Mus musculus: one gene and its partners. The protein of the gene in region 3 purifies or fractionates together with the protein of the main gene of each other region. This does not show direct contact. Links are inferred from orthologs where the notes say so. Each region holds a gene or a part of one and is shown on either strand. Other genes may lie near its edges.

Region 1 (3,750 bases), on a different chromosome or scaffold from region 3:
TATCCTCTATTGCACTAAAAGGAAAACAGAATTTGAGAACCAAAATTTCAGTACTAACCTAATAGACTGTTAGAAAGCACCTATATCTATTTTTTTCAAATTTAAAATTTATTATATTGCTTTATGTGTATGAATGTTTTACCAGCACATATGTATGTGCACCATATGCATGCCTGATGCCCTTGGAGGTCAGGAGAGGGCATCAGATCCCCTGGGACTGAAGTTATAGTTTTGAGCTACCACATGGTGCTAGGAACCAAACCCGGGTCCTCTGCTGAAACAGCAAGTGCTCTTACTTGCTGAGCCATCTCTCCAGCCCACATAGCTAAAAAATGTCAAATCTGAATTTAAAACCTAGTTGTCTATTTTCCTAAGTATGTTTCAATTTCACATTCACTGTAACAATTACATAAAAATCGCAAGAACAACACAAAAAACTCTCTCTCCCTTTTTCTCTCTGTTTCTCCTTCCTTCCTTCTTTCTTTCCTTCCTTCCTTCCGAAGGGTCTCACTATGTAGCTTTGGCTGGCCTAGAACTCACTATGTAGACTAGACTGGCCTCTAAATCACAGAAACCCAGGTGTTGAGGTTAAAGCCATGGGTCGCTGCACCCAACCAAAAGAATCATTTTGATGGTAACAACCTTGAGCCTGATAGTAAACAACAGCCAGTCACACATAAACTTCACTGAAGAACAAATTCTATGTTTCAAGATGGCCAAGCATGGCTGGTAGAACTGTTTTGTTTGTTTTTATTCAATGAACAACAATTTGGTTGTTTTGTTGTTTGTTTAGACAAGGTCTCACTAAGTAGCCCCAGCTGGCCTAGAACTCTTTATGTAAATCAGGCGGGCCTCCAACTCACAAAGATTGAACCATCTCTGCCTCCTGAATGTTGGGACCGAGGTGTGAGCCACCATTGCCAAACTAGTTAATAAATCTTAACTATACCTTCCCTGATGGGAAGACATCAACTGCTCTATATTTTATCAAAACAACACCCAAAAAGAAAAGGTACATTTTACTGAGTCAGGCTTAGCTAATTGTATCAACTGAGTAGTTGGCCCTATATCACAAATAATCAACACATGTCAATATTTTCACATAAAAAGCCCAAATAGGGAAAATACTCAATTTGGGGGAAAGCTCTTCAAAAGTTTTAGGTAGATGATTAACACAACCTTAAATGTCATATTTAGTTTTCCAGGCTTGGCAACAGGGTAGCTATGTAAAAATCAGAGAGCTGGAAATAATCAGATTATCTTATAAAGTAAAAGCAGTACAGACAGAATGTAAACTTTTAAAGCATAGAAAATACAGTCTGGAAACACACATATTGATAATAAGAGTCCAAAACTTCACAGCCTAGACATATTTCACTGTTAAGAAAATATGAGAAAAAAAATGGAACATAGAAAGGGAAAAAATGGTAGACACTGAGTAGAAAGAAATTCCACATAATAAAGGAAATGCCTTTTTGTATCCCTTCGACAATTATGCCCTGAACTGATTTGAAGGCCTTCTATGTTGCTAGTTTTAGTTTTGGGTTTTTTTTTTTCTCTTATATTTGGGGACCTTTCAAATTGGCAAGATGAGATATGAAATTCAGTGACTTGCTAGGACATAATAACAAGGCAATCCCCCAAATATATGAAAACAATATATTACTGATCTTGTGGATGGAGAGAACTTTCAAACTGGAGAACAGGGTGACTGCTGGGCCAGCAGGCCGTTATGTAACACCTATTTCATGTTACTCTATCAACTACTTTAGAATCGCTGACTACTTTTTCCTTTTTAAAGACAAGCACTATCCAGGCCGGCTTCCTTTCTCAAGACCTCTTTTTTTTTTTTTTTTTTTTTTCCTCAAGAGACAAATCCTAAATTCCAGATTTCCTGTGCAGGGAATAGAAAATAGAGGGGAAATAGTGTCAGCATCCTGAAGCTCTGCCTTCTAGTAAGCAGTGGTCCAGAGCGACAGGACATCTCCGAGCTCCTCAGAAACTACACACTCAGACACTGAGAACCAGGGGTGGGAGCAATGCCATCTTGCATCTGACGTCGCCCGAGCACCAATTAGAAACGTAATCATTGATTATCTCAGAGTATCCTCAAACTACACTAATAGGTAGATAAGGGTTATGCCTGACTTGTTCTGCATCCATGGGACACACGACCCGGTTAAAGGACAAGCGCGCCCTTTATATTTCCAACAAGAATTCCAAAAGCAAGGGCAAACTTCTCTCCATTCTCAGGGGAAAGCACTCTAGGGGGATGTCATCACCTACAGAACTCCAAACTTAAGCCCTCCTTGTAGTTTCGCCAACTCAATGACCCCAAGAGTGTAGGTCCCTGGGCTGTGGAGAGGACACCCGCATCGGGCCTGAAAGCCCGCAACTCCCTCACTATGTGCGCTGACAGCACCTGAAGTGGAAGGAACAAGGATGCTCAGGGGACAACATCGGGGTAACGACCCCACCTGCCCTGTCCCGCAGCTCGCCTCACCTGCGGAGCCGATTTCCATTCATGGAGCTGGGGGGAGTGCTTCACGAGAGAAGGGTGCCACCACAGAGGCGAGGAGCGGACGCCCTCGGAAAGCTCCGGGCACAAGAGGCACAGTCGGGAGAGACAGACAGCCTGCAGCGAGGTAAGAGCGGCGACAGTCCTGAGTGAGGACGCTGGAACCAGGTCCGGAACTTGCGTCGCCCACAGATGCTGACGCGTGCAGCTTCCCGACCCGCCAGCCGCCCCGCCGCCGCAGCCGCTCGCTTTTCCCGGTCGCCCCCGGAAGCCCGCTCGCGTCACTTCCGCTCTCCGGATCCCGCCCCGCTCTCCCTCCGGGTCGGCAGCTCGCCTGGAGCCAGAGCCTTGCGGGAGCAACAAGGTCTGGGGATCTGTGGGCGGGTGAGCCGGTGCCTGGCTGGGGCGGAGCCGCGGATGGGCGGTCGCCCTGCACCCGCTGTGCCTGACGGCGACAATCCCGAGCGAGAGGCCAGCTTTCCCCGTGCCAGCCTCCCGGGTGAGGACCGCTGCTTGAGGCGACATCGCTGCCTGCCCGCGGAGCTTACCTGAGGTACATCCTACCTGAGAGTGGCGGGTGACCAGCCAAGGGCATCCTCCCTCCCAGCTCCGTCTGCCACACCCGCTTGGAGCACGTGCACTAGGCGGTGACCACAAGTTCAATATAGTTTTTAAACGGATGAACAAGAAACGGGATGTTCCATGTATACCAGATGGAATTACGTTTATGTTTAAACAGTCTCCCAATACGTTGAGGAACCTAAACGACCTTCCGGTGTTTAAACACCTGCTAAACCTTCTCTTCCTTGGGACTCGAGACTTTTACAGCTAAATTGGTCAGCCTCCAGTTTCCCCGATCCGATCCAGTCTGGTGCTTTTCTGCTGACTTGGAACCTTTGGGAGACTAGACCCAGCTCATTATCCGGCAAATAGTCCGTCTTTTAAAAATACTTGGCTTCGTGAAACCAGATACTTCATGCAAGCTTAGCAATGATTCAGTATTTTTCCCCGTGTCCCAATGAACCAGTAATGTTTTGACATATATTTCTTTTTTAAAAAAGAGAATTGAGAAAGATTTTATTTTCACGATCCCTTCCCTCCCCGTTTTGGGTTTTTGGATTAGTCACTTTATCTTTGGACTTTAGTTTCCTCATCAGAAAAACTGAAAGGAAAACAAAAAACAAAAACCTCCCAAATGTTAGTAACAAAAATATTTACAATAGTTACAATTT
Region 2 (3,650 bases), on a different chromosome or scaffold from region 3:
TCAGTTGCAACAGTTCTTACCTAAAGAAATCTGAAAGAAATGCTGACCCCAGACTTCATGTTAGCCCACATGATCAGAAATCAGGGCTGGGGTCAGCCATAGCTGGCTGTTGCATTTTTACGACCTCTCCAAGGGAACTCTAAATGTGACCACTTGGAGAGAGTTTGCACATTACTGAACATGTCATAATGGGGAAGAACCACTTATTGAAAGACAGGCAAGGCTGTGTTTTCCATTAGGAAGTCACTTTCAGTAGGCGTTTAAGCAGAATAGACCTGATGCATGGGAAGACCACACATGTAGAACTCTGGGTTATGGTGTCCTGTAATGACACAGAAGCCCAGGAAACAAATGCTCTCATCTACCGATGAGTCACTCACCACAGGTGGTGAAGGAATGTGACTTAGATTGGCGATGGGGGCTGCTGAGCTGGCTCAGGGGGCTAAGGCACTTGCTGCACAAGCCTGGAGACCTGGCCTTGGTCCCTGAAGCCTACAGAAAGATGGGGGGAGAGAACTGACTCCACAAAGTTGCCTTCTGATCCCACACATGCTGTCACACACACACACACACACACACACACACACACACACACACGAACGAATGCTCGCACACCCACACATACACACACACTCGATAATAACTTTTAAAGTGACTATGGTTAAATGATAATATTTAGTCACTCAATTTCAAGGACATATCTTAATAACAATAGGATTACTGAATGAGTAACTGGATCTAAGGCCTTTGTCCCTCAATAAAAGAAAAATTGACGTGAAGCCAACTGGTTTCGAAACTGAACAAGTCCATGTCATTTTCTACATCCACGGCTCTATCCACTTCCAAGTCATTTGCATAACCTAAGGGGACAGCTGCACCCATCAGACAATTACCCTTCCAAGTCCCTTCCCTCTCACTCTGGGCATCCACCAGCCTGTGCTGTGTGCATGGATTAACCTCTACTGACTAGTTCACTGACTTATACTGTAGCCTTTTGTGACTGGCTTCTTTCACTTGGCGCAATATCTTCAAATCTGTTTATGCTGCTGTAGGCATTAGACCATCACTTCTTATGGTAGAGTGACGGCTACTAGTTTTAATTTCCAGGAGTGAAACTGCTCGGTCACACGAGTTGCTGATAACTGAACCATTTTACATCTGACCACCAATCTATGAGGTTCCAAACTGGAATCTAACAGTCTTGTTTTCTATCTTCCATTTTCCTGACTGAAGCCAACCTAGTGAGTTTGATGTTGCCCTTCCCCTCCACTTTAACTTACATTTCCCTTTGAAGTAATGAGGTTGGACACCTTTGTAGGTGTTTTATTTGTGTAGCTCTGCCTGGTGTAACACTCACTCTATAGCTAGGTTGGTCTCAAATTTACAGTGATCCTCCTGCCTCAGTCTCCCAAGTGCCCAGCTCATTTGTCTGGTTTCACTGGCAGCAGCTGCACCACGGGAGCTGGTCAAAAGCCAGTTCTGGATGCTCCAGAACTCTTCAGCTCTTAAGCTGGTATGAAGCATGTCAACAGCACATCAGTGCATATCTAAATCCTCCTCACAGGCTTCCTTCTTAGCCTACACTCTGGCGTTTGTTTGTTTGTTTGTTTGTTTGTTTGTTTGTTTTTCTCCTTAGTCTATGATGGCTCAGTTATCCCCATTTTCCAAACTGAAGACACTGATAAACACTTATGGGATGGTCTCTGTACTGGCTAGTTTTGTGTCAACTTGACACAGCTGGAGTTATCACAGAGAAAGGAGCTTCAGTTGAGGAAATGCCTCCATGAGATCCAACTGTAAGGCATTTTCTCAATTAGTGATCAAGGGGGAAAGGCCCCTTGTGGGTGGGACCATCTCTGGGCTGGTAGTCTTGGGTTCTATAAGAGAGCAGGCTGAGCAAGCCAGGGGAGGCAAGCCAGTAAAGAACATCCCTCCATGGCCCTCAGCTCCTGCTCCCTGACCTGCTTGAGTTCCAGTCCTGACTTCCTTTGGTGATGAACAGCAGCATGGAAGTGTAAGCCGAATAAACCCTTTCTTCCCCAACTTGCTTCTTGGTGATGATGTTTGTGCAGGAATAGAAACCCTGACTAAGACAGTCTCTCATCAGCTATTTCCTGACCACCTGTGTACATTTGCTCTCGGATTCTGCATCACCTGCTGTTTATACAGACTCTGCATTAGATTCATAGATCAATCTTAAAGTTGCCAAGACTGTTGCAGGGTCTTCTAGCCCCGAAGCTCTACTTTCTCAGAGCCTGCAGCTCTGCCAGGCTAGCTCTTCACATCTCACTAAGGTTTGAATAGGGATATCACATTGTTCTGATGCTAAAATCATGACACTAAACATGCATGTACATGCACATGTGCACGCACACACACACACACACACACACACACACACACACTAAACAGGTGTATAAACTGAATTAAATGAACATCCACAGAGGTGGAACATGGTGGTGTTTTGCTCCCATAATCCCACCCAGCCCTTGGGAGGTAAAGGCAAGGTCAGCATGAGATGCATGAGGTCCTGAGAAGAAACATGTCAGGGCACACGAGAAAGCATACCTATATCCAAATACGTTATGTTAAAGCCTTGCTCGCTGGCAATCTCACTAAGCAGCTGGATGTAGTCTGTGTTCGGGAGACTGAGGAGGCTCCTTTTCAGGAGGTTGATCTTCTCACCAGGGGAATTCCTCAAGGAGTGCCAAGTGCATCCTAGGGAATGTCCAACCACGTTCGTCTAAAAGGCAGAGAGGAGGGAAACGTCAGCTCCGAAATGGGCCAGTTCCAACATCAGTACCAGGGTAAGTGAACACAGATGCTCGGGGGATGGAGAGATGGGTCGGGGTGAAAAACACTGGCTGCTTTTCCGGAGGACCCAGCTTTGTTTTTTATTTCCAGTATTATGTATGTCTAGGAGAGACACTGCCAACAGAAATGCTTTTATTTTAATAAATGTTACAACTTGAGCCAGAGAGATGGCTCAGCAGGTTAGGGCTCTTTGATGCCAAATCTAATTCCTGAGTCTGATCCCTGGGACCCATATGGAAAGAGGAGAGAAGTGACACCCTTTGACCTCCATACATATGCACCTTGCCCCCTCCTACATACCTCAGTGCAGCAAATGCTTGCAGGTTGATTTCTGAACTAATTTACATACCCACCGACCAAAGTGCTTGCTTATCACACTCTCACCAACAGCAGCTAGTTACCAAACAGTGTAGCTTCCACCAACTTAAAACAGACAGAATATCTTAGTTGGCATGAATACACTGAATATTTTTCCATTCCTTCATATTTTTCCTACTAGACTTTTCAAAAAATTGATGTATACAGGCTTTACACGTATGAAAGCTGAATTCTTTGCTTGTTTTAGTTATGTTGATTTTATTCATACTTTTTTGGCTGTATCGTAAGTTCTAGTCAAATTCATTTGCTTCAGATTTTAGATGTTAAGTTACAGTTAAAAAAGACTTTCTATCCCTAAGATTCTTTTCAAAAGACCGTTTGTGTTTGCCAAGACAGTTCTATTCATGCTCAATCCTTGATCTGGGATTTACTTAGGCACGAGGTTTGGTATGGGGATATGCCATCTATTTACACAAGGACACACAGACAAATGCACTATCTCCCATCCTCGCCCATGG
Region 3 (3,650 bases):
CTTGAGGACAAGACAAAGGAAGCTGTAGCTACTAAAGAGAATTCTCCAGTCTGTGGCCCGGTTTAAAGTCTTTATAGTAGTACACTGCAACCTTCCCATACAGCGGCGGCGAGCTGTCGTCAGGTTGGCAAGAGGAAATAGTTCCAAGCTAGCACTGCCCAAGCTAGTCTGTGCTGAACTGAATTCTTCCAGACACAGCCTGGAGATCACAGGTCACTGCAGAGTCACTCCAGCAAATGGCTAAGGCTACACTGTAACATGAGAGGGAAGGAATCTGAGAGGGCTCTGATTTTATTTCTAAGTGGAAACATAACAGAAGTTTATGCCTCTGGAATGGGGAGGGGAGGTAAGAGAAATCACACTGCACCAAAACCAACACTATTTCTGAAGTCACAGACGGCCTGCCAACACATGAAATATCTACTACATGGCAAACGTACAGCAGAAAGAAAACAACAAAAAACAACATTCTTCAGTCAACACAAACAAAAAGCTCCATGCTGAGAGCTTACCATTTCATCCTTTTCCCACTTCTCTGAGTTACTTTTGTCTTGGTTTACCACATAACCAGGAGGAAGCCAATTCACAGGAGGATCGAATATCGACACCACCATGCGGCTGGGCAGTCCCTTCTTCTTGCCAAGGCGATACAGGTTACAGTTGCTGACCTTCGGCAGAAAAGAGTCACAAACACTTACCCATACATGGCCATGGCTGGGAGATACAGTGTGCCAATACATTTTTGCCAGTGTTTTTGTATTGCACGATGGTCAGCAGTTATAAGGACTACACAGTTAAAATAACAACTCTAGATTTCCAAGTACTAGACAGCCTTCCACGTCAAATATTTGATCCAAAATGGAATCCACAAAAACCTAATGTATATAAACTCCTCTCCTCATAAATAAGTCAAAGAAAGAGTTCAATTTCAAAGTTTTAAATCACAGACTGACAATATGAAATTCAAGATGACAAGTGAGGCTGGGAGCAGTTGTCAAGACCATGGAACTCAAGATGTCATGATATTCTCAGTGAGAAAAGGGATGAATATGTTGTAAGGTGAGAACCATCACCATACAAAACAATTGTTATCTCTTGAGTCTAAGCATCAATAATGTGACACCAACCCTCTCACTCTCAAATATTGCTCTTTGTGTGGTGGATAGCATTCAGCACTGGAGTAAAAGGTGCTAAAGAACAGCTGCTGCGCAGGACACCACCTAGGTGGCTTTACTATCCTCCTTCCAGTCCTTTTGCCTTTCCTAATGGCTCTACCATGACCCTAATTTACTTAAAACCTGACATTTCTGTCTAGTTCTCACTTGGAGACTAGCAGCTATCACCATTAATCTCATTCCCTGTTTCTAAAACCTTACTGGAATACTTCAGGAGCCCTTTCCATGTAACTCAGATGCTACTTAGCCAGCATCTGGTACCCACAATCAGCACTGGCCACAGTCTGGTAGAAAGCGTGCAAAGAGACAGAGAAACGGTCCTTGCAATGTAGCAGGCTGTGTTTGAAACTACCACGAGTCAACACACCTCTCAGCTGTCTACCATGGAACCAATATACATAAATGTTGGTTTCCTTTTCCATGACATGTGAGAGCATCCCAAGAGGAAGACAGCAATAGGAGGAAAATATTCTAAGTCAAGAGAAAAGCTCAGTGGAACAGAAAGGCTACAACTAAGGACTTGTTGTGAGGCACAATTCCAGCAGCAGTTGGCAATGAGGACAATCCCAGGGAGGGCTAGCTTGAGCAAAGACACAGGGAAGGTTAGCTTGAAGCAAAGACACAGGCTGTCCAGAGAGCATGGAGCTTGTGTTAAGACTGGCAAGCTGGAGTTCAGGCAGGGTCTGTCTGGAAGAAGATGCTGAACCCACCTGATACCAGGCAGAGGAAACAATAAATATTTCTGCAGGAAATGAAGTGAAAAGGGTCTGAACAGACGAATGGATGAAATTTTGAGATGTTAAAGTAGTATCTTTCCTGCTTAATAGGGTCTGGTATTCTTATTTCACATGTCTCCACTGACTGATCTTCGTCTAGTAAGCAGCCCTGACAGCCTCCTCAATGTCTTCCTCCTAACCTTGCTGCCGCCACTACCCACCATGTCCACGATGTCACAGTTGTCGTGGCCTGTCTTAAGAACACTGGGAAGGCAGCCAGCAGGTGAGGCCTCTAGTCTCAGACATACTCCCCTAAATACCTGGGACTAGTGAACGACCTGGGACTAGTGAACAACCCGGTACAAGCTAATCCCACTGTCTGGGCATCAGTTTTTTCATCTGCAAAATGGTTCCTCATTTGCACAAAGGTTTATTTTAAACTGCACTTTTCCCAGTAAGAGAAGGTCAGCCCGAAGCCTGGCTGTACCACTGGTGCCCTCACGTCACTACTGGGCAATGCCTCCATGGGCTTCACTGGCCCTAATGAACTCGAATGAGTAGCAGCTGCACCGACTCACGGAGAATTCCCCATGGGTAACTTGGCCTGTTTTCAGGCACACTGAAGAAGCAACAGCCCAGAACGAGAATCGTGCCTTACCTTTTTGCTTCTCATATATGAAAGGCGGCCTTCATGAGCATCAGGGTACGTGCAAAACAGATATGTGGTGATAGCATGCTTTAAAAAGGAGTCGCCAAGCATCTCAAGCCGCTCCAGGTTAAACCCATCACTGGCATTTGACAGTGTCAAAGCCTGGAGAATCAGTCCCGGATTGGGGCCAAGAGTCCTTGAGGAGTACCCAACAGAAGGGCTCTGCTCAGAGTCCATCCTGTCCTTGAGTGCTTTAACAGCATTCATCATGGCAGGCATCGTGGACACCGCGGGGCTTCCATCTGAGGTAGATGTGTTAGCGTTCCCATCAAGGTACGTATTACTCAGTAGAGGACATTCATTGCTGGGCTTGGGCTGGTTCTCATAATTGTACAAATTCTGAATGGGATATGAGGTAGTTGGTTGTACAGGTATTTCCTGCTTGAAGTAATTCAGCTGATTTCCTTGGCAAAAGTCTCTGTTAACTAAATCATAACTGCCATTGGCAAGGTTTTTATTGTAAGAAAGACCATTAATTGCTGTAAGATCCGTTGAAACCTCACTTTGGAGCTTAGCAGGTGACTCAGCGGGCAACCTTTTGCAGTTCACAGACATTTGGTCATGGTTTTCTAAGGAGGGTCTAGTAGCACCTTGATGTGCAGCATGTTCAGGGACTACAGTTGTGCTGTGCTTACAGTAATTATCACTCTCAGCCAACGAGGAGTTACAGCTTGAGATGAAAGACTTGCTATCAATAGATTTTTTCCACCCGAAGTCTAAGTTAGGGTATCTGCAAAGACATTTTTATAACTTTCTTTCAACCCTCCAAAGGGTAAGCTCAGAAAAGCAACACTTTGAGTTAAAAGCAAACAAAGCAAGCAACTCTAAAAGTCATCCTAAGAAGAAAACGCACTTCCAAGCTTACCTGGCCCTGCCTGGGACTCTGCACACAGTCGGTTCTAATGCAGAACAGCTTACTGCTTTGACTTCTGTTTATGGTGGCAAAGCAGAGCTGACTGAGAGGACCCAACGTGGAGGTCCTGCAGTGGCTACTGGCTTAGTGGGCTCACCTCCTGAACCAAGTGAGCAGCTTCTTGCAACTTACAAACT

What was found.
Region 1: the proteins of Dicer1 (region 3) and Ago3 purify together in Homo sapiens (affinity purification with mass spectrometry; 3 studies listed by BioGRID and IntAct, with this or other methods). This does not show direct contact. The link is inferred for Mus musculus from reciprocal best matches to the Homo sapiens genes DICER1 and AGO3.
Region 2: the proteins of Dicer1 (region 3) and Prkra purify together in Homo sapiens (co-immunoprecipitation; 4 studies listed by BioGRID and IntAct, with this or other methods). This does not show direct contact. The link is inferred for Mus musculus from reciprocal best matches to the Homo sapiens genes DICER1 and PRKRA.

Annotation. Positions count from the first base shown.
Region 1 is NC_000070.6:126,426,765-126,430,514, forward strand, and holds the start of Ago3 (protein argonaute-3), read right to left. Parts: upstream 2,779-3,750; 5' UTR 2,523-2,778; coding exon 2,504-2,522; intron 1-2,503.
Region 2 is NC_000068.7:76,630,965-76,634,614, forward strand, and holds part of Prkra (interferon-inducible double-stranded RNA-dependent protein kinase activator A), read right to left. Parts: intron 2,744-3,650; coding exon 2,569-2,743; intron 493-2,568; coding exon of another isoform or gene 443-492; exon of another isoform or gene 1-442. UniProt on the Homo sapiens protein: Activates EIF2AK2/PKR in the absence of double-stranded RNA (dsRNA), leading to phosphorylation of EIF2S1/EFI2-alpha and inhibition of translation and induction of apoptosis.
Region 3 is NC_000078.6:104,699,853-104,703,502, forward strand, and holds part of Dicer1 (endoribonuclease Dicer), read right to left. Parts: intron 3,331-3,650; coding exon 2,550-3,330; intron 669-2,549; coding exon 513-668; intron 1-512. UniProt on the Homo sapiens protein: Double-stranded RNA (dsRNA) endoribonuclease playing a central role in short dsRNA-mediated post-transcriptional gene silencing.